Sus scrofa: one gene and its partners. The protein of the gene in region 5 interacts with the protein of the main gene of each other region in a biochemical or structural test. Links are inferred from orthologs where the notes say so. Each region holds a gene or a part of one and is shown on either strand. Other genes may lie near its edges.

Region 1 (4,075 bases), on a different chromosome or scaffold from region 5:
CCTCCTCCGACAGGTCTACCAAAAAATGGCAAACCAAATTCAGCCCATTATACAGCACGGGGACCTCCCTTCCAAGGGCACGGGACACAAACACAGACGCCGCTGCGAAAGCGCCTGGCCCGACAGAAACGTTAAGGGGGCCAGATAAGAACGAATTAGAAACCTCAAAAGGGTCCCGCTGAGACAACGAAAATCAAAGTACCATTTATTCAGGGGTAGACAGCAACGAACCCAAGAAAGTTTCCCTCGCCGGACTCTGGGGCCTTTCTTTCTATCCAAATTCAGGCTCAAGGCAAATATATTTGTGGAAGTCCCTGCCCCTATTTACGTCTCAGCTGCTGCCGGGGCCCCACCATCGCTCAAAGGGCAGCCTCTCCAACTTCACATCCGTTCCTCTGGCCCTCGGACAGAGGCAGAGGCGGCTACGGAGCTGAGCGAGCTCCGTGGGGCGGCGAAAACGCCGTGTTCGGGCCACCCATCCTTGGGCCTGGCTTCATCTGCGATGTCAGCACCAATGTATTTTTTATTTTTACAACGCATACTGGGCGGGTGTATGCATTGCGGGGGTGGGAGGGGGGGGTTCAACAGAGGAAAGGAGGGGTTGGTAGTGGAGCCTAGAACCCTCCTTCCTCTCCCCTCCTGCCAGGATTGCCGGGCAGGGAGTGTCGGCCAGGTTTGGCGCACTGTCCCAGGCCCCAGGCGAAGGTGGCTAGAGGGACTGGGGCTTAGGCATCGCTAGCAAACGGCATCATTGGTGGTCTCCAGCGTCTGCCGAGGTAGGATTGCCTTTTTTCCTTTTCCTTTTCTTTTCTTTCTTTTTTTTTTTTTTTAAAGGGGCGTGTGATTTTCTTCTTTTTTGGAGATGGGAGGGAGTTTGTCCCTTCGAGCGCTCGGGAGGGAGGGGGCGCGTTGCTGCACTGCCAGGGTCCCCGGAGGGAGGGTGCGGGGACGTCTACAGCGCTCCAGTCATTATTCCTGGGGCATAAGAAAACACTAAGAGGGGACAAAGTGGGCGGCACCTCGAGCTAAGGCAGTGGCAGCAGAGAAGGTCGCGAGGGGCTTACCGGGGCGGGCGGGCGCTGTCCTGCCGCAGGTGAGGGAGGGCGCGGGCTGGAGGGAGGGAGGGCGCGCGCGAGGCAGGCGCGAGGCAGGCGCGAGGAAAGGGGGAGGGGAGGAGGGCGCGCGCGCGCACACCTGTCCTGGACAGCGGCGCGAGCTGAGCTGCGCCTCACTCGGGCTCCGCCGGCTGAGGAGGGAGAAAGGCGGGCTGGCAGGCGGGGGCGGGACGCCGAGGGGAGGAGGAGGAGGCGGCTCGGATGGCTGGCTCGGCTCTCGCTCGTTCTCCCTCCCGCTGGCAAGTCCGGCTCACACCCTGCCTCTCCCGCTCACTCACAGCCCCCTTGGCTCTCCCTCCTCCTCCTCCTTCCCCTGCGGGATCCGCTCGCCGCCGCCGCCGCCGCCGCAGACGGCAAGTCGTGGCAGCCAGACGTCGGCGCGTAACCCGGCGCTCCGTGCGTGACTCCGGGCGACGTCAGCGCGCGCTCCCCGCTACCCACCATCTCCCCCCCACCTTCCTCCCGTGGCTCGCGCCCTCCGCCCTCGCGTCCCTCCGTTTCAGTTGCCGCCGCGGCGGCGGCTGCCGAGCGCGCTCCCTCCGCCCCCCAGCTCGCGCGTGCGCGCGCCCTCCCGGCCGTTGGCGCGTCAACAGCCTGCGGCCCAGGCCTTGAGGCGGGTCTGAGAAGGGGGCTGCCTGCCGCTTCTCGGGCCGCACTTTCTCCGCCCACCTCCGGTAGCGCCCCCCGGAGGATTTATTCCTCGTTGGGCTCAGAGGGCGGAAGCCAGGCTCAGACGGGGACAGAACCCTGTAGGGCCTGCGTCAGCTCCAGTTTAGGGCCCTCAGCGTCGTTGTCGGTGCCGCTACCGCTCGGTCACCCCCCCCCACACACACACATCCCGTTCCGCCCGCATCTTTCTGGAGGCGACAAGCCTTTCATCGCCCGGGAGGGTCTCACCTTGGCCTTCAGACGCGCGTCCAGAGGGGCTAGAAGGGCGGAATTAGCATGAAGAAGAAGGGGCTAGTCCAAGTTCAGGCTCTAGCCCCAGGAATCCTTGACAGGAAGCGTGGGGTGGCAGCCCAGCCTCCCACGCAGTGTAGGTGAAACTGGGCCCCTTTGAGGGACTGTGACTAAGGACAAAACCCTGATAAATATTACTTATGCGTCCTTGGGTCGAGAGGGAGAGAGTAACAGGGACGAGTTCATTTTCAGAAATTGCTATACTAGGGTGAAATGTAGAACTGTAAAAAGTCCTTAAGAGTTTTCTTGAAATCTTAACCAAATTTGACAAGGTTTTTGGTACATGTTAACTTTCCCCCTCACTTTGGATACTGCCACATCTCCATCCTGCAACACTGCGTACGAAAATTATGGACTGCAAAATAAGCAGAAAATAGCCTTGCCCATCTTTATCATTATTTAAATAACTCTCAGGGAAGTCAATCTGTGATTAAAGAAAACTGAATCATTGTTTTAGCTTATTTAACTGAATATATTTTGAGGTTACTTTGCAGTACACCGTGAGGTACTCTTATTAGGCAAAAGGAGACTTTTAAACTCATTTAATTATAGGACCTTTTCCAAGAAGCTTATCTAGCTAAGACTTAGAGGCAGATAGAAGAGAGGGGAAATTAACCCCATTTTATAGATGAGAAAATTGAATTACAAAAGTATGTCAGTTGTTGAGAGTTGCATGGAGTCTGTCACCCAGAGGAGGAAACACCATGCATGGGTCTTTTATTACCAGCTTTAGCCACTAAACCAGAAGTTCCTCAATAGTTTTACTTCTAGATATCTTTTAATCCCCCCCCCCCCACACACACTTTATGTATTAGAGGAAGCGACTGAGGTCTGAGAGAAATTTGGGGGATATTCTTGGAGACCTCAAATCACAGATCATTTTAAAGGGTTTGAATTTGAAAATTTCTGCCATGGAAAATGACAGCAACACTTCATTGTGAAACAAGCTTCCCTACTAACAAAACAATGTTTTTTTTTAATCCCTAGGTATGAGAAATGTTTTCCTTATAAAGTTTAAACAAATGTTTTTATTTAAGAAGTGAGAAAATTTTTGACACAGCCTTAAGAATGATGGGTCATTTCCTTTGAATTACTTATTCACCTCATCTTTAGGTGGCAGCACTACTGTATAAATATCTCTGAAACTACAGTCTTCTGCAACTTGATATCCTAAAGAGGGTTTGGTCTTAAATGCTTCCAACTATATAGTGGAGATTAGAAGCTGGTGAAAGTACGAAATCATAGCAGAGGTTCTAGAGGAGGAAAAACAGGCTTAATTCCATGGATAAAATGCCTGGAGCTACTGAGGGAAAAGATTCGAAATTTTTTTTTAAGCTTCTTAATATATTTTTTAGCTGTATAAGGAGCAAGTAGCATCTTTACTCCAAAGATCTCTTACTGAAACAGCACAAGATTACCTTCCAAAGCAAATCGTAATTTCTCAGTACTACATATTTATCAAGCATTTACAAGTGTAAAGTTGTCTGTTGTATAGTTGCCGGTATTCGCTATAATTTTAAAATTCATTTATTAAACTGTGTCAAACTTATGAAGATCCTCAAAAGGGACCCTGTTGTTGACCCCTGTGGAAGGGAACTCATCTTGTCTCCTTTCCTAACTTCCTACATTATTTATTTATTTATTTTGTCTTTTTGTCCTTTTAGGTCCACACCTGCAGCACATGGAGGTTCCCAGTTCTAGGGGTCTAATCGTAGCTGTAGCTGCCGGCCTACACAAGAGCCACAGCAACGCCAGATCCGAGCTGCATCTTCAACCTATACCACAGCTCACAGCAATGCCAGATCCATAACCCACTGATTGAGGGCAGGGATCAAACCCACAACCTCATGGTTCCTAGTCGGATTTGTTTCCACTGAGCCACGATGAGAACTCCTCCTACATTTTTTCCTGAAAAAAAAAAAAAAAAATCATTCCTCAAACTCAGAGAAATGAGAAGATAAGCTAAAACAAACATAAAATGGTAAAAATTTACAGATATT
Region 2 (3,500 bases), on a different chromosome or scaffold from region 5:
TAAGGCTAGAGGTCAAATTGGAGCTGCAGGTGAGGCCTACGCCACAGCCACAGCAACGCTGGATCCAAGTGGCATCTGTGACCTATGCAATGCTGGATCCTTAACCCACTGAGCAAGGTCAGGGACCAACCCTGTATCCTCCAGAGACTATGTCAAGTCCTTAACCCACTGAGCCACAATGGAAACTCCTCCGCTATAGTTGACACTGTTACTCATTCACTTGACGAGCATTTATTTTAAGAGGGGAGCCAAGCTGTAATGATGGGATAGTCATTAGCCGGGGAATGGAATTCCTATGTGGAGAGGCGAAGAGATGAGGAGAGAAGACATTCCAGACAGAGGCACAAGGAGAAACTCAGCACGAAGTAAATGAGGAGAGAGAAGCAGTTTGCGGTTCCAAAGGCCCAGAGAGAAAGGTTGTGGGAGGGAGAGGGTCCCGAGGAGGACTTCAGGTGAGGTACTTCATTCTGCTTCCTCCTCCTGCCGCCGACCCCTGGGCCAGAGGCCACATGACCCTGAAAGCCGGCTAGTCAGCAAGTCACTAACTGTAACTGGAAGAGGAAGGGGAAAGAAACAAAAGGGGCAGGACTCAGAGTAAGGACTGTGCATGGTCCCCAAAGCACCCCGCATTCTTGACCCCTCTGACACCCGAATCATCCAACCTTTCCTTGAAGTAACTGAGGCCTGCTGGGATCTTGCCAATAAATCCACCCCCTCTTTTTTTTTTGGCTTTAAGTCAGTATGAAGAGGGTGTTTGCTATTTGCAAGCAGGAATTCTAAGAAAAAGAATCATTCCCCTGAGAATGATCCCTCTCACACCCTGAAATGTGTTTCATACTTATACCAAGAAGAATGTGATAACCACAGGAGCTTTCCAGACAGTGTTTTACCATTGGTGCCACGATCTGTATTTTACTAGGAAGAAACAGGTTCTGAAAGGATAAATAACCTGCCCAAGATCATAATACAGTAAATGTTGGAGCTGAGGTGACTCTTAAGTTCAAGATCTTGCCATTAAAAATGCTGCCACTTCTGAAGTCTTCAAACCTGCATCACCAGGTGGGATCTCCTCTTGGCTGGAGTCTCCTCCTTGCGAACATAAGGACCCTGTCTCCTTTGAGAACATGTGTGAAAGGCTCAGAATTAGAATCTGAAGTTCAAAGATGACTGTTTCACTTAAAAAAACAAACCAACCACCTTTTCATTTTGGAATGATTTTAAGTTTACAGAAACATTGCAAAGATAGTACAGAGAGTTCCCAATAGCCCTCACTGTTTCTCCTAATGGTAATTTCTTATGTTAGATGGTACGCTTGTCCAAATTAAGAAACCAACATAGCTGCGTTACTATTGACGGAACTCCAGACTTTATTCAGACTTCACCAGTTTTTCCACAAATGTCCCTTTTATGTTCCAGGATCCAATCCAGAATCCCACATGGCATTTAAAATACCTCAATTTTTCACTTAAAAAAAACACACAAAAGCTGAGCCATTTAAACAACCCAAGCTGGACCTAAAGGTAAAGTGCTAGGTTTCCTGGTTTTGAACAATCCCTTTGGAGACTCTCCTTTCAGTCCAAATAGACCTAGCAATGCCTGGACATATTCTCTTTTCTACTTTCTTCTCCTTATACCTTAATTTGGCTTGGAAATACATACATGTTTATATTGTTTTCAAGGAAGAAGACCAATTCAAACAACTTTCTTATAATTTCTTAATTTCTTTCTTAAAGTTTTATAGAAAGCTTTCATTTTTTTCTTTGTGTATTTTCCACAATACATAATTTTTTAATCAGAAAAAAAGTTTAGTGTGCCATCCTGTACCACTACAAGGAAAGAGAATTTTTTTTTTTTTTTTTTTTTTGGTCTTTTTAGGGCCACACACACAGTATATGGAGGTTCCCAGGCTAGGAGCTGAATCGGCCTACTCCACAGTCACAGCAACCTGGGATCCGAGCCATGTCTGCGACCTACACCACAGCTCACGGCAATGCTGTAGATCCTTAGCCCACTGAGCGAGGCCAGGGATTGAACCTGCATCCTCAAGGATGCTAATCGGGTTTGCTAACCACTGAGCCACGATGGGAACTCCGAGGATTTTTTTTACGATGTGGATTCTGATAGGCTCACTCACGGATGGGACATGTACTCCAAGAAGATGCTAGGCTGTGAAGAGGGCTGGGGTGACAGTGTGCATTTATCTTTGCCATCACAGCTCAGGCTGAATCAGCTTTACAGTCTGTACCAACTTGGAGATCTACCTGATTTGCTTCTTTAAAATCATTAAACTATAGTTTTTTTCCCCTAAGATATAATATTTAAAATTGACTGAATGACAGCTGTCATTTCTTCACTCCTTTCCTGCATTAGAATTACATGGCTATGCCCTTGTCAGGTGACCTTTCAGCATCTGCCACTAAAGGGCATGGTGTGTATTTCCCTGTCTCATGGATGTTCAGCTTGGTCATGTGATTTGCTTTGGCCAATGAAAAGTGGGTGAAAGGACATTGTGTCAATTCCATGTTGAGGCTTTAAGAGGTATCACAGGTGTCTGCTCAGGCTCTGGTTTCCTGGGACCATCTGAAAAATCCTGACCAGGTCACAAGTGTCCCTTCAGACAGGGCCTCAGAATTAAGACACAGGGCAGATTCCAACCTAACTAGAAGCCTCAAGTCCAATCTGGCCTGGCCATGCCCAGCCTGGACCAGCTGAATACAGCTACTTAGCATATCTGTGTTTGCTACTGTAAAACAGAGATGCTGAGGGGTCTGTTACACAGCAACCCTGACTAATAAACCATGAACATGGACTAGACAAAGAAGCTAACTTCTTCCAAAGAAGGCTTTCCAGCCTGCTTTGGAATTAGCACAACCCGCATGAATCAGATTTAACTTACTTCCAGGCATCAGTTCAAAGTGAGGCTTTCCTTCTTCCATGGACATGAGAGTAGCCAGTTTCCCTTCTATCATCTCTCCATCAATGAACTTTCCATACAGGGCAGTCCTCTCATCCGGGTACACATAGGCTATCTTCTCTCCTGTCATCTCCCCATCTTCATTTACTTCTCCTACAAGGCTACCTCCATCCTGATGGGAAAAACCCAAAGCCAGAAAATATTATATATAGTATTTATCTATATGGCACGAGTTCAAGACATTTCTCTAGTGCTCCCCCAAGGTTAGTACCACTAATAGGAGTCATAAGAGTTTAAGAACTCAAAGCTTTTACACAAACACGAACAACCTGATGCATTTTCTCTTCTCCATCCAGCTCCACACAAATAAACTACTGGAAGTTACATGCACGGGGGCATATAAACCTTATTTAGAACCAGAGATGGGAAGCTCCTGCTGTGGCATACCAGGATTGGCAGTGTCTTGGGACTGCTGGGACTTGGGTTCGAGCCCCTGGCTGGCAGAGTGGGCTAAGGATCCAGTGTTGTCACAGCCTTGGCTTGGTTTGAGGCTGTGGCTGGGATCTGATCCCTGGCCTGGGAACTC
Region 3 (4,057 bases), on a different chromosome or scaffold from region 5:
GTCGGATTCCTTTCCGCTGCACCACGAGGGGAACTTTGATAACTGATCAGCTAATCATTTCTTAAAATGCTCATTTAAATGGTTTTGGTGGTCTGCTTAGGGATGAGCATTTAAAAAAATAAAAGCAGACAAAAGCAGCAACGTTTTATATGCAATGTGTATATGTGTGTGCACACAGATACACACACATGTGCACACAAATATTTTCCAAAAAATCACAACGTTAAAGACTCTTTTACCTGCCTTGCCAGTTAACTTCTGCGGGTGGACCCCCATCCAAGGATTTTCCTCCCCACGTGGCGAGGCCACCTGCCCCGAACCCAGTTCCGAGCCTCATTACGTTCTCCCTCAACGTCCCAAGCCCCATCGCTGCCACCCGCGTTCCTTCCTCTTCCTGGGCCACTATCTCGGCGTTCCTGGACCCGCCTCAGGCCGTGACTGCCGGAACCCGCCAGGGAAGACCTCTCGTGGGGACTGTCCGCACCACGTGCGACCCTAAAACCCCAGATCTCCTCTCCCACCCTGCCGGGCCAAATGCACCAGAACCCGGGCCGACCAGGAGCAACCTCTGGTGCGCAAGGACTCAAAATGAGCGAGGACACGCCGCCACCACGGATTAGGAAGCCCCAGCCCAAACCAGGGGCCAACCCGCAGCTATGTGGCCTCTCTCTGGGAGAAGGTGTAGGTGTGTGGGCCAGCGAAGGGGATCTAGCCGCGCTCTGGGGCGGGCGCGGTCAAGGCGCCACGGCCTGCGCAGCCCCGAGGGCCCCGCGTCGCTCTCCCGAGCCAAGGTTCTCAGGAGCGGGCCGAGGAAAAGACGTTGGCGGGAGGAGTTAGTGGCTGTTGGGAGAACGGGTTCAAGGAAACAGTCCCTTCCAAACCCTGGCCATCGCGGGGTGGGCCTTCTTCCTCCCTGCCAGACCCGGGAGGCCAGCCAGAAAGGGCGCGGGTGCCCGCGGCGACCCGCTCGCCCGGGCACGCCCGGGCAGGGCAGCGCAGGAAGAGCCCGGGGCGGCTGCCGGTTGGTCCCTCCCAGCCCTGAACGCCCAGGGGTCGCGGTGCGTCCGCCCCGAGCGTGTCAGGTGAGGAGGTCGCCATAGCGATGCGACCCGGATCGCGCACGCCGGCCGCGGTTGGCATGGAAACGGCCCCCCCGTGAGGCCCGAGAGCGCCGCTGATTGGCCGATTCAACAGACGCGGGGGGCGGGGGAGTTGAAAATAATTAGAGCTGAGGAGCTGGCAGCCCAGGCTGAGATCCCGGCGCCAAGGCTGGAATCTATTAACACCTCGGTCCCCTTCCGCCTCGCCCCGCCCCGCCCCCGCCCCCTTAGGCTGCCCCTCATTCCCAATCCTGGTGTGCACTTGCCAATTGTTCGAGACATATATAAAGACATAAAGCTGAGACGAGCGAGGCCCGCTGTGGGCTTCAAGCAGGTTTTGGGGTCTTATGTCTTGCGGGAGGAGGGCCGCGGAAGAGCACGCTTCTTGTCACTTGGGAAGGGGATATATTTTCCCACAGTGATGTATCCTGGGTCGACTGCAGGCAGAGGGATGGTGGGGTGATGGATAAGTCTCATAGCCGGAAAAGACATAGACCTGTAGGTTTGGACTCCCAATTAACCTGGGGCTTAGTGTCCGGCCGTGGAGGTCTGCCTTCCTCCTTCCAGCCGTCAGCCTGGTTTGGGAAGAAAGCCTGGAGAGATTCAAATCCCTGTTTTGGTTCAAAGTAGCTTTGATCGCTTGCACCGTGGCTCAGGCCTTTTCAACCCTAATAACTGCAGTGAAGATCATATGTTTCAGTGCTCTCTCTTCTGGGGATTTGCTGCATTCTGGAGCCCGTGCTGGAAGAGGTTGACTAACCAGCATGTCTGTTTCTCCTTCCCTGATAGCAGTAGCCTGTGGAGACTGAGGCTATGCATCTCAGTAGCTCCAAGAGCGGGAGAGTGCTGGCTCCAGTGTCCGGAGGTCCTGATGCCTGTCAGATGATGTCCAGAGCCCAGCTCAGCCAGGATCCACCACAAAGAACAGTACTAGGGGTGCTAACCGAGAATGGGCAATACAGGAGGACCTGTGGCCAGGTAACGACTGAGAAGAGCTGGGACGGTTACCTGTTGAGAAGGGCTCTCATGTCATGGTGAGAGGTGGGTTTCTCTGGCAGTTTTACCTACAGACGTCCCCTGAGTATTTCAACCCTGGAATCTGGACTAGAGGGACCTTGATTTATTAAAGATTTCTTTCTTGGGTCCTTTTTCTAGCTAGAAATATTGAATACTTTTCTGTTATTTTTCCGATATCAAGGAAAGAAACCTAGGAACTGTTTAGAGTAAGTATGCGTAAAGTCATTTAAGTTCTGGGCTAAAAGGAAATGAGAATGCTCCAAAATAAACTGTGGAACTGGGGTTCCCACAGATTGGAGCGGTATCCACACTGATCTCGGCTGTGCCTGAGGCATCCTGGGTAACTTTTAAGTTCATTGGTGATGGTGTAGAATCAGGATTGGATCAGCCTATCCTAGATTACTTCAAAATGCGTGCTTTGAAAGTAGACTTCTCTCCAGGACTGACTAAGGACAGTTGGGCAAACAGCTCATGGGCCATCTGACATTAGTTGCTTGCACTTAACGGATCAGAGATACTTCCTTTAACTGATTGTAAACAAATTCAGAGACTTATAATGTAAAAGAGGAGTTTGGATCCTTAAGAATGAATTTTGAGATTAAACAAAAAAAATCTAAGTCTGTTATTAGACAAAGCTTCTCATAACCATGCCTTAAGTCTGTAGTGTACATATGTAGTGGAATGACATTGGCAACCATACAGTGACATAGGTGGGCAGGTGTTCTTTCCATTTTATATGTGAGCAAATTTGAGAGGTTTAAAAAAGACCAAAAAAGAAAAGAAATTCATGATGGAGACCAGATCAGAAGCCTCTCCTCATCTACAGACTATTCAAGTCATCTGTTTTGGTGACATCTGATTAGTGAGAGAAAAATACCCAAAGTAATGTTTCAAGCGTTGGAAAAAACAGAGTAAAGGTGGTTTTAACAAACTTAATGTGCTTAGTGGTGTTTACTTCTTTAAACTTGAAGTTGAAAACCTCTTACGAATTGGCAGTTACACCTACGCTGACTGAGCTCACTTTAAATTCACAACTGTCAATTAAGCTCTGTGTTGCCTGGCGATACCTCTACATTTCCCGACTCTATTCCTCTGCACCCTTCTTATAGAAACCTCCTATTTTATACATTCCCTTCTCTTTTTATCCTTGAAAGCCTCCATCTCCATCCTTACTCTCAGTTAATAACTATATCCTATTTTCCTAAAAATATAGATGTAACCGGAAGAGAATTTCCACATGGTCCCGTGTACCTACCATATACTCTGCCACCCCCTTCCCGCTACGTAACCCATGTGTCCCTGCTCTTATGCAAGGGGAACGCCCCGTGTGTGCAGCACACCTTATGCCCTTTTGCCTTTTTAAGGATATCATTCCATCACCTTGTCTTTCTCTTTTCCACTGGATCAAACCCAGAAGCATGAAAATATACTGTGATTTTTTTTTTTTTTCATTCCTAAAAACCTTGCAACTACAAAGCTCTTTGCAGCAACTGTCCCATTTATGGCAGTATTTCTTGAGGGTTTGTCTATGTAAATTCCATCAGGATGAGGGTTTGGGACATTGGGTTTACTGCTGTACTTCCAGTGTTTAGAACAGTGCCTGGCCAGGGTAGCATGCGAGGATTTATTGAACAAATACTGTGTCTCAGATTCTTCTCTTGTTCTCTTTGACTCAATTCTTAATCAGTTCTCAAGCCTTTCCTTACTTGACCAGTTGGCAGCATTTGACATTGTTGATCATTCTTCACTCCTTGAAATAGTTTCTTCTCACGCAGTCTGGAGAACAGGGCCTGGTTTCCAACCTAGCTCACTGGCTGTACCTCCTCGGTGGTCCTTCCTCATCCGCTCGCTAAAAGTTAGAGTGTGCCAGGGCTTCGTATTTGAGCTGAATCTCCACTCACTCCCATAGCAATCTCTTCCAGTCTCCTGGCATTAAATAC
Region 4 (3,500 bases), about 3.1 Mb from region 5:
TTTTTTTTTTTTTTTTTGGTGTTTTTAGGGCCACACACGTGGCATATGGAGGTTCCTGGGCTAGGAGTCCAATTGGAGCTGTAGCTCCTAGCCTACACCACAGCCACAGCAACACCAAATCTGAGCTGCATCTGTGACCTACATCACAGCTCAGGGCAATGCTGGATCCTTAACCCACTGAGCGAGGCCAGGGATTGAACCTGCAACCTCATAGTTCCTAGTCAGATTTCGTTTCCGCTGAGCCACGATGGGAACTCCTTAAATGAGCTTTAATACTACAGATTTTCAGTCTAAGACCATACTAACATGAGGACATAAAAAATTGCATCCATAATTGAATTAAGCCAGAAGGGTTGAGCCATAATCCATTAGGTGATTTTCTGGGTATATACTACCTTTTTAGTTTATATTAAGTGGTGGAACCACACGTTGGAACACAAACACTTGAATTTCATTCCCACTCTGTAACTGTCCGGTGCTTTGTGATTAACTTCCAGAATCTGATATTGGGAGATTCTATCTTTTGTCAAAATAGTTTTGTGAACTTATCAGTCTGTTGAGTAACATTTACTCTGTAGTTTATCTGCAGAGTATTGTCTGGGTGCTGCAGGGAATAGAAGAAGTAGGTAGGTGTTCCCGTATAGTAGAATGTATTTTATATATTGACCCCTAATTCAAAATCTACATTCTCATAGTGGTTCTGGGAACTAAAGTAATTTTTTTTTTTTTGTCTTTTTTGTCTTTTGCTGTTGTTGTTGCTATTTCTTGGGCCGCTCCCGTGGCATATGGAGGTTCCCAGGCTAGGGGTTGAATCGGAGCTGTAGCCACCGGCCTACGCCAGAGGCACAGCAACGCAGGATCCGAGCCGCGTCTGCAACCTACACCACAGCTCACGGCAACGCCGGATCGTTAACCCACTGAGCAAGGGCAGGGACCGAACCCGCAACCTCATGGTTCCTAGTCGGATTCGTTAACCACTGCGCCACGACGGGAACTCCGAACTAAAGTAATTTTATAGCACTTGGAGTGTGGGGTTTTTTATTTGTTCGTTTGTTTCTTTTTATTTATTTATTTTTTTGTCATTTCGCTATTTCTTTGGGCCACTCCCGTGGCATATGGAGGTTCCCAGGCTAGGGGTCTAATCGGAGCTGTAGCCGCCAGCCTACGCCAGAGCCACAGCAATGCGGGATCTGAGCTGAGACTGCAGCCTACACCACAGTTCACGGCAACGCCGGATCATTAACCCACTGAGCAAGGGCAGGGACCTAACCCGCAACCTCATGGCTCCTAGTCGGATTCGTTAACCACTGCGCCATGACAGGAACTCCCTGTTTCTTTTTAAAAAAAATAAATTCTGGCTTTTTTTTTCTTTTTATGGCTGCACCTATGGCATAAGGAAGTTCTGCAACTAGGGGTCGAATCAGAGCTCCAGCTGCTGGCCTGTGCCACAGTCGTGGCAATGCTGGATCCAAGCTACATCTGTGACGACCGCCACAGCTTGCGGCAGTGCCAGATCCTTAACCCACTAAATGAGGTCTGTGATCAAACCCACATCCTCATGCACACTCTGTTGGGTTCTTAACTTTCTGAGCCACAATAGGAGCCCCAATTTGGCATTTTAATAAATATTCTTAGGCATAAATAGAGTGTTTCCTTTTCCTTCCATTATATGGACTCATTTTAAAGTTGCTTTTTTTCTGTTCGTTTAGTTTAATACAGTTTTTTAGTAAAATGAAGAAATGGATGGACATGTCGAACCTGCCACAAGAATTTCGTGAACGTATAGAAAGGCTAGAAAGAAATTTTGAGGTGTCCACTGTAATTTTCAAGAAATTTGAACCAATTTTTTTAGATATATTTCAAAGTCCATATGAAGAGCCACCAAAGTTACCACGAAGCAGGAAGCAGAGGTGAGACCCTTAATTCTTATATAATTGACATAGAAATTATGATACAAGCTTAAGATAATTTCCATTTGATTTTTTAATTAAAGTATAGTTGATTTACCATGTGCCAATTTCTGCTGTACATCAGAGTTACTCAGTTATACATATATATACATTCTTTTTAATATTATTTTCCATCATGCTCTATCCCAGGAGATTGGATATAATTCCCTATGGTATACCATAGGACCTTGTTATCTATCCACTCTGAATATAATAGTTTGTCTACTAACCCCCCATCCCTGTCCATCCCTCTCCCCGCCACCCCATGTGACAAACAACAAGTCTGTTCTCTATGTCTGTGAGCCTGTTTCTGTTTTGTAGGTACATTAATTTGTGTCACATTTAGATTCCACATATAAGTGATATCATATGGTATTTGTTTCTTTCTGACTTACTTCACTTTGTATAATAATCTCTAGTTGCATCCATGTTGCTGTTATTGGTGTTATTTTATTCTTTTTTATGGCTGAGTAGTAAGGGAAATTTGCGTTTTTAAAAGTCTACTTTTTAACTTCATTTAATAACCCATAATTGTCTGGCCTTTGTGAACGGGAGTTTATAGGTAATTTGACTTTACTATTTGTTGTATTTGCTGTTTCAATTTAAGGGACACATGTGGAATGATATTTAGTAAGTTAGTCAAATAAAAGTACATTTTCCTCCTTTTTTTTAGGAGGATTCCTTGCAGTGTTAAGGAGCTTTTTAATTTCTGTTGGACACTCTTTGTTTATACTAAGGGTAAGGTTACACTTTTAATTGTTCTATATTTCTAATGTGGGAACTTGGTGCTATTTGACATGAAAGGTTTCTGGGTTTTATGTCTCTTTTTTCATATAAAGGTAATTTTCGTATGATTGGAGATGATTTAGTAAACTCTTATCATTTACTTCTGTGCTGCTTGGATCTGATTTTTGCCAATGCTATTATATGCCCAAATAGACGAGACTTGCTGAATCCATCATTTAAAGGTAAGATCTTATTTATTTTTGAAAACTGATTATCAATTTTTAGAAAAAGAGTTTTAAAAGTTGACCATATTCTTTTTCCCTCCATTGCTCTTTATACCCCGTCAAACTAGGTTTACCATCTGATTTCCATACTGCTGACTTTAGGGCTCCTGAGGAGCCTCCCTGCATCATTGCAGTACTGTGTGAACTGCATGACGGACTTCTAGTAGAAGCCAAAGGAATAAAGGAGCACTATTTTAAGCCATATATTTCAAAACTCTTTGACAGGAAGGTACTGTACTTACAATTAAATGACTCAGATATTAGGGGATTAGCAGCAGCCTCAAAGGGAAAACAATACTTTAAGCAACTTCTTAACAGTATAGGACTCAGGGTCAAGAGTCCCAGATTTCAGTCTCTGCTGTGAGGCAGAATTGTCCTATGATTTTCTGTGATGTGTGAATCTGAACTTTTGAAGAATATGACCAGTCATATGTACTGTCAAGTAAATGGACTGTCGGTGGCAACTGTAGGAAGTTCTGGTAAAGAATTATGAAGAACAAAACATCAGAGTAAACCTATAAAGAATTTTGAAAAGCAGGAG
Region 5 (4,031 bases):
CGGTGAATGCTCACCTGTGCAGAAGCTGAGTCTGTAGCTTGTTTCATGGGCTGCCCCAAACAAATGCCAGTGCCGAGGGTCAGTGGAGGCCAGAGCTCAGGTGGCCAGTGGCTACCGAAAGGTACAATGTTCAAGGCAAAACCTGGGCCCATGTTTCTCAACTTCAGCTCCAAGACAGCACCAGCCCCCACCCCTGCCCACGGCGAAAAATGTCTACTAGCCCTTAAGCACTGAGGGGCAGAGGCTCCTTACCTGCCTCTGCCTAGTACCTCATAGGCACTCACCAACAAGTGCTGAATGAAGGGAATGCTCAGGCCCACTGAGGCTGCCCCCGGCACCATAAGGAGTGGAGCACAGGGCATGTCTTTGGCCCAGTCTCTGGCTGTCCCTCTGAACCTAGAGCTCAGACTGCCGAGGGCAGGCCCCACAGCCAAGTACTATCAATTAGCTAAATGGAAGCTACCTGTCCAGGCCCCAAGCTGGTACTTGCAGTAACAGGTTGCTGAGGTGCAGGAGACCAGCCAAGCGACCCACCCCGGTACAATTTCCATCCCCCTCACTCATTAGGAGGAAGGGGTCCTGTGCTTTCATCAACCTCTATTAGCATCTCCAGGAAGCGAGGCATCCTAGTGGTTAACCACTCAGGAAATCTGGACTGGTCTCACAACTCACTAGCTGAGTAACTAGGGAAGGTTCTAACCTCTCTAGGCCTCAGCTTCCCGACCTGGAAAAGGGGAAAGTTGTTGAGAGGGTTAAATGAGTTAATTGGGTAAAGTGCTTGGCACAGGGCCTAACACACAAAACAGTCTCAAAATAATGGTGGCTGCTATTGTTATTATTAGCATCTTAGTGATTCCGGAAGGAAGGCCACACTGGGCAAGGGGCCAGGGGGACTGGGGGAACCTTGGTGGGATGCCTCAGGGACCAGCTGCCACCCAGTCCCCCAACAGTAATTGGGCAGATACTACTTCCTTGCCCTGGGCTTTGCCTCTCCCCTCCCACTTGCTCCAAGCCCTGTGCTGAGACCCCATACTGCTTGGCTGGCCCCTGCCTGCCCATCCATGCCCTACCCTTACCCACAGGCTGCGCCAGTCAAACTGGTCTCCACACCCTGTCCTGCGGCCCACAGGTCCAAGCTCCAGGCCTCCACCCCCTTCTCCCCCTGTAACTCAGCGGTCTCTTCTGAGCCCCCCCCCAATCTGAATTGGTCTTAAGCCTCTTGCTGCTCAGGGAGCACTTTATCAAGGCATCTCCCTGGGGCATTTACTCTTTTCTAGCACTGGGGGCCTCCTCTCCAGCTCCCAGAGGCCCAGCCCACCCAGTACTTCCACTGGGGCCAGGGGTCTGCCTGCCTGATTAATGAGCTTCCATGGCAACCAGAGTCTGGGAGGGTGGAGGGTGGCAGATGGAAGGACAGGCAGAGGGAGGGGAATCAGCAGCTGGCCCAGCCACCCCGCCCCTGCAGAGAAGGCCTCCCAGCCAGGCGGCCTGTCCCCAGAGGCCCGGAGGGCTAGGCCTGCACCTGGCAGTCCAGCATCCAGGCAGGAAGGAGGGTCTCCTCAATGGCCCTTCAACTTTCTGGTCCCAGAACTTTCCCCTGACTTCCCCAAGCAGCCGTGCCCACCATCCAGCCACAAGTTCTGGTCTGAAGCCAGCAGGCCTCAGTTCAAATCCCACTTGCAGCCTTGTGACCAGGGGGCAAGCCACTTCCCCTCTCTGGGCACAGTTCAGATGGGCACAGTGACAACACAGAGCTAGCTCACAGCATGGATGTGAGTTTTAGCTGCCTTGAAGTCTGCCAGAGGCCTGGCAGGCAGTCAGCAACAGCTGAATACACGTGGGCCATTATTATCATTGAGTCTGACCCTAGACAGGCTCCAGCGAAGAAGCTGAGGCCCAGAGCACAGAGGAGCAAACAAGGACTGGCCCGAGGTCACCCTGCACCCCGGGGCGGAGCCCGAAGGCCCAACCCAAGCTCGGCACCGCCCAGCCTGGGCGCCTCAACCCACCCTCCCCCGCCCTCGCCGCCTCCAGGCCAAACATAGCGCCCCGCCCGGGTCTACGCCGGGGTCCAGGCAGCGCACTTGGCCCAGTGTCCCTGGTGTCCGTACCGGCGGGCGGCCGAGCGCGGGGCGCGGCGCGCTGGGGGTGGGCCGGGGCGCCTGCGGCGTGGCGAAGAGCAGCAGGTCGGGGTCGCGGGGGCCGGTGGCGGGCGCGGCGGGGCCGGCGGGGGCCGCTGGGGCGCTGGCGTCCTGCGCGGTGGAGATGATGACGATCTGCGAGGAGTCGAGCAGCCGCAGCGCGCCGGCCCCGAGCAGGGCCTCCAGCGCCGGCGCGCATGGGCCGCCCGCGGGGGCCACGGCCATGGCGCTCACGGCCCGCGCGGCCCGGGTGGCAGTCGGCGGCGGCGGCGCGGGCCCATGGCAGCAGGCCGAGGCGAGGGCTCGATCCCGCTCCGGATCCCGCTCCGCCCCCGGCCGCCGCTGCCTGCAAAGTCCCGGCCACTTTTACGCGCCAAATCCTTTTTGCCGCGAAAGAGCCACGAGCCGCCGAGCGCTGCGCCTATTGGCTGTCCTGGCTGTGACGGAGGCGACGGCGACGGCGCCCATTGGTTGCAGCGCGCCGGACCGGCGGCGGAGGGCGGGACGGGGCGGCGGCGCGAGGAAGCACCGCCAATCGCAGGATGGGGCGCGCGCAGGCTTTGTCGGGGCGGTGCCAGGCGCGTTCGCACTCCCCGCCCCTAGAGGGGACGGCCCTGTGTGGGGAGTGGTGGCCCCACCCCCTCTTCGACGCACCCCATCCTGTTGATACCCTTTAGTGGAGGCTTTTACAACAGAACGTGTGTTGTGCACAGATCGCTATCCACAGACCCCACGTGACCTCCCAGAACCCCCACCTGTGGGTGCTCCAACACCCTCAGGCCATAACTCTAGAAACTGCAAACGCAGTTTCTCTTTTCCAGGATCTCAAGCCCACCTACAAAACCCCAGCCACATCTTTCCTCAACTTGCCCCACCAATGCCATTTACTTTCAAATCCTGCGCCCACCTTATCCCTTCCACCCAGAGCACAAGCAGAAGGAGTTGCCAGAAAATGGAGAGGAATGTCTGACCCAGTACAGCTTGGGGCTTTTCTCCAAAGCCTCCTGTAGCTGGAATCGCTTCAACAACCAAAGCACAGCTTCTGCTTGAACTGATTCCTTCGTTCATTCAACAAACCTTTTTTTTTTTTTTTTTTTTTTTTTTTTGCTTTTTAGGGTACCCCCTGGAAGGTTCCCAGGCTGGGGGTCAAATCAGAGCTGTAGCTGCCAGCCAAGGCCACAGCCACAGCAACATCAGATCTGAGACCTGTCTGCCACCTACATCACTGCTCACCACAACGCTGGATCCTTAACCCACTGAGCAAGGCCAGGGATCGAACCCACAACCTCATGGTTCCTAGTCGGATTCATTTCCGCTGAGCCACTTTGGGAACCCCAACAAATGTTTTGAGAGTCTGCTCTGTGCCCCCTTCTTGACTCCTGGCCCTAAGGATCTAACAGTTTAGTGAAAGGGGCTGGAGGGAAACTGAGGTAACAAATGTTTACATATGACACAGATTTCAACTATTAAGGTAATTCCATGTTAGATTTTACAAAGGGAGGAGGTGAGTGTGCTGAGCAACCAGAGGCCACAGGACCTCCCCATCAGCCACTTCTCATTGCTCAGTTCAGCTGATTTGAGTTATATTGTCCTCTCCTCTGTGCCAGGCTTTGTGCCAGCGCTGAGGGCAGATATGTGAAAGGCTTGATAATTTCTATGAACTTGCCTGCCATCTGGTGGGGATGGGCCCATCAAAAAAAAAGTAGCTGGAGTTTCCTCTGTGGCACAATGGGATCGGTGTCATCTCTGTAGTGCCAGGATGTAGATTCTATTCCCAGCCTGGCACAGTGGATTAAAGGATCGGACTTACCACAGCTGTGGTGTAGGTTGCAACTGTGGCTCAGATCTGATTCCTGGCCTGGAACTCCATATGCCTCAGGGTGGCCAAAA
Region 6 (3,500 bases), on a different chromosome or scaffold from region 5:
ATAGATCTGCAAAGAAAGGAAATATTTACTTTAGATTAATGCAATTAAAATGGTTTATTTCTCAATAGAAACTTATTTATTAGAAGTACATATCTAAATCCATTGTGTATAAATAAGACAACTCTTGCGTACATTTTAAGATATATTAAGTGCAGTATATTCTGAAACTCTGATTTTTCTTTTTTAAAAGAATTTTTTGGTATGGAGTTCCCATCGTGGCTCAGTGGTTAACGAATCTGACTAGGAACCATGAGGTTTCAGGTTCCATCCCTGGCCATGCTCAGTGGGTTAAGGATCCAGCGTTGCCGTGAGCTGTGGTGTAGGTTGCAGACATGGTTCTGATCCCGAGTTGCTATGGCTGTGGTGTAGGCCAGTGGCTACAGCTCCAATTAGACCCCTAACCTGGGAACCTCCATATGCCACGAGAGCGGCCCTAGAAAAGGCAATAATAAGACCAAAAAAAAAAACAAAAACTTTGGTTTTATTTTTATCACTTCTTCACAATGCCATAGCAGTATTATCCTTTACAGTAGACACCTGATAAGGATTTTGAGGCTTTAAAATAATTACAGAAATAAACTGGAGTTAAATGTGTGAACTCAGAAAATCTACATTTAAATTTTGGTTCAGTGGCCAATGATTAACCACATGACCAAGTCAAGATACCTAAGATTCTCTAAAACCAATTCCTCTTATTTATAAATTGAGAGATCTTTTTCAGCTAATTAAACAAAGAAATTTAAGTCAATGAACTGAGCACAATGCTTTGAGGATGATACATACGCAATAACCTATTTTTAACTATCAATATGTACATATTTAAACTAATTTAATCAATTTAACAGTCTTCTTCAACTCTTTTTTTTTTTTTTTTTTTAAAGGGCTGTACCCTCAGCTTATAGGAAGTTCCCAGGCTAGGAGTCAATCAGAGCTACAGCTGCTGGCCTATGCCACAACCACAGCAACGCAAGATCCAAGAGGAGTCTGCAACCTACACCACAGCTAACAGATCCTTAACCCACTGCATGGGGCCAGGGATCAAACCCACATTCTCATGGATACTAGTTGGATTCTTTTCCACTGCACCACAATGGGAACTCCCTTCCAGCTCTATTTTACATAATGTGTTTTCTAAAAATTTCTCAAGAATGACCCATCTATTCCTAACTACAGTTACATTCAAAACTAAGTAACTCTGTTACTAGAATATATTTTAACAAAAATTAGGAATCTTACACTTATTATAAGTAAAGAATAATTAAAAGTCACAACCAGGGAGTTCCTGTTGTGGCTCAGTAATTTAGATAGATAAGGATCAAGCCCAACTCTGAAAGGTATTCACAGTGAAGCTAGAAGTACTAATGTACATTACCACTTACTGCTTTAATTATATGACAAAGACATACCCGACAACCATCCAGTAAATCTTCAGGGGCTTGAAATGCACTGACATCCAGATTTTCCAGATTTTCCAGAGTAGGCTCCACTTTGCTATTAAGAACTGAATTACATATTGATTCATTTATACAACTTGCATTGATGTTGGAAATATGGCTGACATCTGAAAGAGTACGACCTACATATTAAACAAAAATGTATAAATTTATGGATACAAAATAATTGAGATTATATATTTTCCTATAGATTAACTTGCCTTATATAAAAAGAGCTATGAACAGTTTCCAAAGTAAGAGTCAAATGCTGGAGTTCCCATGGTGGTGCAGAGGAAACGAATCTAACTAGGAACCATGAGATTGCCGGTTCGATCCCTGGCCTCGCTCAGTGAGTTAAGGATCTGGCATTGCTGTGGTGTAGGTAGCAGACACGGCTCGGATCTGGTGTTGCTGCGGCTTGGTATAGGCTGGCAGCTGCAGCTCTGATTCAACCCCCAGCCTGGGAACCTCCATATGCTGTGGGTGTGGCCCTAAAAAGACAAAAAAAAAAAGAAAGAAAGAAAGAAAAAGAAAAAGATTCAAATGCTTTTACTGAAATCTTGGTGCTAAGTATGAAAAGGGAAAATGAAACTAATTAAAATTCATTTATTTAAAGGAAAATCTATTTAAAACATTTTCTCTCTTTTTTTGCTTTTTAGGGCTGCACCTGAGGCATATGGAAGTATCGGACACATATGCCAACATATGCCACAGCCACAGCAATACAGGATCTGAGCTGTGTCTGCAACCTACACCACAGCTCACAGCAACACCAGATCCTTAATCCATTGGGCGAGGCCAGGGATTGAACCCACAACCTCATGGATACTAGTTTGGTTTGTAAACCAATGAGCCATAACGGGAACTCCCTGTAACTTTTGATAAATTGCTGACATGGTACCTCCAAAACAGAAGTGGCTTTAAATTTCATATGAACACAGATGATCTATAACAATTGCAGTAAACAATAAGGAAAACATACTAATATGTACATGCCAGTCAAAATTAGTCCTCTTATTTTAAGTCTTTAGTATTTTTTTTGCCTCTCTCTCTTTTTTTTTTTTTTTTAGGGCTGCACCCTTGGCATATGGAGATTCCCAGGTTAGGGGTTGAAATGGAGCCACAGCTGCCAGCCTGCACCACAGCCACACGGAATCCGAGTCAAGTCTGAGATCTACACCACAGCTCACAACAATGCTGGATCCTTAACTCCACTGAGCAAGGCCAGGGAATCGAACCCATGTCCTCATGGATCTTAGCTGGATTCGTTTCTGCAGCACCACAACAGGAACTCTCTACAACTTTTGTTAAATTGCCAATATAGTACCTCCAAAACAGAAGTAGGTTTAAGTCACATAAGAACACTGATGATCTATAACAACTGCAGCAAACTAGTAAATAAGGAAAATGTACTAATATGTGCATGCCAGTAAAATTCTAAAAAAAAAAAATCCTCTTATTTTAAGACTTTATTAGTATTCTTAATTTCTTTAATCATCTTCTGCATTATATTAGGGTATGAAATAAAGTATGCATTCAATATAAAAAGAAATAATCAGGAGCTCTGGACTAATTTTTAAAATACAATTTGGTTATTATACCATTATACCTGGAAGCACAGTAAGAAAAGATGAAATCCCTCACCATATCTCCTTGATCCTATTAACAAATCAATTCTAACACAGTAAACTGCCTTAAAAATGACTGTTTACTTGAATCCCAAAGAGACCTACTATCAATAGTGTTGATCTGACCAGTAGGAGTTGAAGTATCAGGCAGGGTCTTTGTTTCTGGTCTAGGCTCCGTCTTGTATATGGATTCATCCTGACAAAAACCCTTCTCAACACTGTCAAAAAACCACTGTGTGGTCACACAGTGTACATTCCATCTCTTTGCACATTCATATTTTTGACCTAATATATTCATTAAAAAAGAGAAAGAGAGAAATATAAACCATTGAGAAAATCTACCTTTGCAGAAATATTCAAATTACAGTAGGTTATGAAAAAAACACACCTGAGACAAAATTAAAAGTTACCAGTAATTAGCTATATAGTGTATTAAAAA
Region 7 (3,500 bases), on a different chromosome or scaffold from region 5:
GCACCAGATGGAAGGGGTTATCAGACGCATCAAGAGGCCAGTTCTAATTACTTGGCCCGGTCAAAGGAATCCGGGAAGGGAACTAAAACTTCCCCTTGACAACCCAGGCCTGCTTGGCGCTAAAGTGCTCAGAGCTTGCTCGTGGTCACAGCAGTATGGACCAAGCGCCCGGGAGAGCAGCTCTGAACCAGGCACCAGATGTGGGACATGTTCACACACGAGTCCCTGATCTCTGCGGTTCCCATCAAGTTCTGAAGAGAGGTGCACAGTGTACCCTTGAGGCGCACCGTGTAACCACTAAACGGTAGAGAGAGAGAGCACTCCCGGAGAGAGCGAACACTGAGAACCAGGCCTGTAAGATAAAATAGGATTTTTCTTGATTAACCACACCCCACCACTGAGGTCCTCTGACGCGGTTGCTAAGCCGGACCCTTTACAAGGCTCCTTCCTCTCCCCGGCTGGCGGGGGGGGGGGGGGGGGGGGGCAACAGGACAGACGATGCAACACCAATGCACCGCGTCCCCTCCTCAGCCCGCCACACATCTCCCTCTCAAGTGCCAGCAGATGCATGTGCCTCGTAAGCGGGCTCCTCTCTGCTCTCCCCACAGGCTGTGCCCGCCACGCTTCCCTCTAACTGCCTGTCCGCAGGACCACCTCCCAGCTAGACCGAGCTCCTAAGGGCACCTGCTGCCTGCTGCCGTCGTCTTTAAACCCCCGCTCTCTGACCCAGCCCCAGGCCTGGCACCACCACAGAAAGCAAACATCTGCTGAGGATCAGCGACGTCCCCTCAACCCTCTCCCCTTGCTGCACAGAAACGTCACCCCTGAGCCTGTACCTGCCATTCCGTTTACCGCCCGTGCACCTCTGGGGGTGGGAAGAGGGGAGAACCAGAACAGCCATTCATTTTAGGCTCCGACTGGGACGCCAGTGGTGCGCCAGGCACCAGACTTGGGGATGTGGGCTTTGGCCTGTGCGAAAGCCATGAGAGTGCAGCACTGCTGGAAGCAGAGGCCCTGGGAAGCAGGGCAAAGGCTAAGTCAGCTGTGAAGGCCAACAGACGGGCTGGAGATCAGTTTACAGTCACCCTGGGGAATGAGAACCGACTGGGAAGGGTCAACTGAGGGGGCACAGGCGCATTTAGATTTCTGTAAACCTGGATCACCGGGTAACTCTTGAAATACATCTGCGTGCATTTCTCTAAATTTGTACGGCTCTGTGCGCGGATCTCCAGTATACAGGCACGCCTCGTTTTATTGTGCTTTGCAGACACTGCATTTTTTTACAAATTGAAGATGTGTGGCAACTCTGGATCAAGCAAGTCTATCTGTGCCATTTTTCTTTTCTTTTTTTTTTGTTTAGGGCCACACCCACGGCATATGGAGGTTCCCAGGCTAGGGGTCCAATCGGAGCTGTAGCTGCCAACCTACACCACAGCCACAGCCACGCCAGATTCGAGCCCCATCTGCGACCTACTCCACGGCTCACGGCAACGCCGGATCCTTAACCCACTGAGCGAGGCCAGGGATCGAACCTGAAACCTCATGGTTCCTAGTTGGATTTGTTGCTGCTACGCCCCGAGGAGAACTCCATATCTGTGCCATTTTTCTAAAAGTATCTGCTTTGTGTCTGTGTCACATTTAGGTAATTGTTGCAGTATTTCAAAAATTTCCAGCATTGCCGGATTTGTTGTAGTGATCTGTGATCAATGATCTGTGATGTTACTTCGATAATTCACCCAAGGCTCAAAGGCTGGTCAGCATTTTTAAGCCATAAAGTTTGCTTGTTTGTTTTTTTTGGCCACAGCCTGCAGTGGCGGGATGTGGGATCTCAGTTCCCAGACCAGGGATGGAACCTGGGCTGCAGCAGTGAAAGCGCCAAGTCCTAACCACTAGACCACCAGGGACTCCCCAACCACAATGTTTTCTTTCTTTATCTTAAACTTTTAATGACTTTTACTTTTTCCATTATAGTTGCTTTACAGTGTTCTGTCAATTTCTACTGTACAGCAAAGTGACACAGTCACACACACACATGTACACATTCTTTTTCTCACATTATCTTCCATCAGTAACTTTTTCTTTCTTTCTTTTTTTTTTTTTTTTGGCTGCGCCTGCACCATACAAAAGCTCCTGGGCCAGCTACTGAACCTCTGGCACGCAGCGACCTGAACCACAGCAGGGACAACACCAGATCCTCAACCTGCTCGGCCACCAGGGAACTCTGTCAAGCATTTCACTGTATTAGAGCATCTGCCTCGCTGTGGTGGTCTGTGACCAAACCAGGGGTATCTCGAAGGGTTGCCTATTTCCTTCTATGCTGCATAAAGGCACATAAAACTCTTTAGGAAAGATATGCCAGGAACTCTTACAATGTGAAGTTCGACCCCTTCTGGATCTCACAGTAGCCTCCCCGACTCTCCACTTGCCCTGACCCACACACAAGACTCACCTTTGCTACCAGTGATCACTGGCACGTTACGTGGTCGAGAGCGGCAGTCAAAGATAATTGGCTTCTGTACCCAAGGGATGAGAAAGTGCGTCCCTTCCCCTACAACAATGTCCTGCACACCACGGAACCGGTCAAAGATGACAGCTCTGTGCCCAGCATCCACTAGGAATGAAGGAAAACGATGGGTCAGAAAAATCCCTTCACCCGTTAACCAAAATGATCATGCCCTTGAAAGATCCCTGGCGCCTTTTTTTTTTTTTTTTTTTTTTTTTTTGCTTTTTAAGGGCTGCACCCAAGGCATATGGAAGTTCCCAGACTAGGGGTCAAATGGAAGCTATAGCGGCTGGCCTAACCACAGCCATAGCAACATCAGATCCAAGCCTCGCCTGCGACCTACACCACAGCTCACGGCAACACCGGATCCTTAACCCACTGAGCGCGGCCAGGGATGGAACCTGTGTCCTCATGGATACTAATCAGGTTACTGCTGAGCCACAACGGGAACTCCTCCCAGTGCTTTCTATTCATGTATTAAGTCTCCCCTCTCCTGCTCTACATTCCCAGACTTCTGACCTCTAGAGGCTTCTAAATGGCTACAAAACAAAGCAATCACTCCCATGTGTCTTCCCAAGGACTTTGGTTACAGGAGCTTTCCTCAGCACCCTTTCTCTCTGAAACAACTGGCTGCTGATTTTCTGATTAACCACCTCACTCCCAAACTCGCAAAGCATTTCCAGAAATCACTTCTCAAAACTTTCTAAAACTCACCAAGGTCTTCACTGTTACCACATTCCCTCCGGTTCCAGCCTCACCCAGTGTGCGCAGAAACAGCACCCTCACTCCGGCAACCCTACAACTCAGAAGGCCCCACTCTTTACTTCCAATAGCTTGGTTTCTCTACGGTTTTAAGGGGCTACAGAGCTGTCTTGCTGACTGAGAGAGAAATGAGTGATGGTGATGATGTCTAGCCATGCAGGGCTGGCCAAAAAGATCAGAGTATATCTGCCTTTTTGCACTTTGTGGTCAGTTCAATTATCTTTTTTTTTTTTTT

The links.
Region 1: the proteins of E2F1 (region 5) and PURA form a complex in vitro, tested with the Homo sapiens proteins (2 studies listed by BioGRID). The link is inferred for Sus scrofa from reciprocal best matches to the Homo sapiens genes E2F1 and PURA.
Region 2: of the proteins of E2F1 (region 5) and SETD7, one has a biochemical effect on the other in vitro, tested with the Homo sapiens proteins (3 studies listed by BioGRID). The link is inferred for Sus scrofa from reciprocal best matches to the Homo sapiens genes E2F1 and SETD7.
Region 3: the proteins of E2F1 (region 5) and CCNA1 form a complex in vitro, tested with the Homo sapiens proteins (2 studies listed by BioGRID). The link is inferred for Sus scrofa from reciprocal best matches to the Homo sapiens genes E2F1 and CCNA1.
Region 4: the proteins of E2F1 (region 5) and RBL1 form a complex in vitro, tested with the Homo sapiens proteins (2 studies listed by BioGRID). The link is inferred for Sus scrofa from reciprocal best matches to the Homo sapiens genes E2F1 and RBL1.
Region 6: the proteins of E2F1 (region 5) and TOPBP1 form a complex in vitro, tested with the Homo sapiens proteins (4 studies listed by BioGRID and IntAct). The link is inferred for Sus scrofa from reciprocal best matches to the Homo sapiens genes E2F1 and TOPBP1.
Region 7: the proteins of E2F1 (region 5) and PHB form a complex in vitro, tested with the Homo sapiens proteins (2 studies listed by BioGRID). The link is inferred for Sus scrofa from reciprocal best matches to the Homo sapiens genes E2F1 and PHB1.

The regions. Positions count from the first base shown.
Region 1 is NC_010444.4:141,876,500-141,880,574, reverse strand, and holds the start of PURA (transcriptional activator protein Pur-alpha), read right to left. Parts: upstream 2,801-4,075; 5' UTR 2,013-2,800; intron 1,544-2,012; exon of another isoform or gene 1,065-1,543; intron 1-1,064. UniProt on the Homo sapiens protein: This is a probable transcription activator that specifically binds the purine-rich single strand of the PUR element located upstream of the MYC gene. May play a role in the initiation of DNA replication and in recombination.
Region 2 is NC_010450.4:87,502,284-87,505,783, reverse strand, and holds part of SETD7 (histone-lysine N-methyltransferase SETD7), read right to left. Parts: intron 3,101-3,500; exon of another isoform or gene 3,087-3,100; coding exon 2,897-3,086; intron 1-2,896. UniProt on the Homo sapiens protein: Histone methyltransferase that specifically monomethylates 'Lys-4' of histone H3. H3 'Lys-4' methylation represents a specific tag for epigenetic transcriptional activation.
Region 3 is NC_010453.5:12,394,892-12,398,948, forward strand, and holds the start of CCNA1 (cyclin-A1), read left to right. Parts: upstream 1-1,257; 5' UTR 1,258-1,434; exon of another isoform or gene 1,435-1,598; intron 1,599-1,889; 5' UTR 1,890-1,913; coding exon 1,914-2,078; intron 2,079-4,057. UniProt on the Homo sapiens protein: May be involved in the control of the cell cycle at the G1/S (start) and G2/M (mitosis) transitions. May primarily function in the control of the germline meiotic cell cycle and additionally in the control of mitotic cell cycle in some somatic cells.
Region 4 is NC_010459.5:40,258,646-40,262,145, reverse strand, and holds part of RBL1 (retinoblastoma-like protein 1), read left to right. Parts: intron 1-1,709; coding exon 1,710-1,910; intron 1,911-2,622; coding exon 2,623-2,687; intron 2,688-2,788; coding exon 2,789-2,917; intron 2,918-3,027; coding exon 3,028-3,188; intron 3,189-3,500. UniProt on the Homo sapiens protein: Key regulator of entry into cell division. Directly involved in heterochromatin formation by maintaining overall chromatin structure and, in particular, that of constitutive heterochromatin by stabilizing histone methylation.
Region 5 is NC_010459.5:37,187,319-37,191,349, forward strand, and holds the start of E2F1 (transcription factor E2F1), read right to left. Parts: upstream 2,801-4,031; coding exon 2,796-2,800; intron 2,741-2,795; coding exon 2,629-2,740; intron 2,505-2,628; coding exon 2,112-2,504; intron 1-2,111. UniProt on the Homo sapiens protein: Transcription activator that binds DNA cooperatively with DP proteins through the E2 recognition site, 5'-TTTC[CG]CGC-3' found in the promoter region of a number of genes whose products are involved in cell cycle regulation or in DNA replication.
Region 6 is NC_010455.5:74,832,878-74,836,377, forward strand, and holds part of TOPBP1 (DNA topoisomerase 2-binding protein 1), read right to left. Parts: intron 3,347-3,500; coding exon 3,167-3,346; intron 1,577-3,166; coding exon 1,407-1,576; intron 7-1,406; coding exon 1-6. UniProt on the Homo sapiens protein: Scaffold protein that acts as a key protein-protein adapter in DNA replication and DNA repair. Composed of multiple BRCT domains, which specifically recognize and bind phosphorylated proteins, bringing proteins together into functional combinations.
Region 7 is NC_010454.4:25,603,194-25,606,693, forward strand, and holds part of PHB (prohibitin), read right to left. Parts: intron 2,612-3,500; coding exon 2,450-2,611; intron 1-2,449.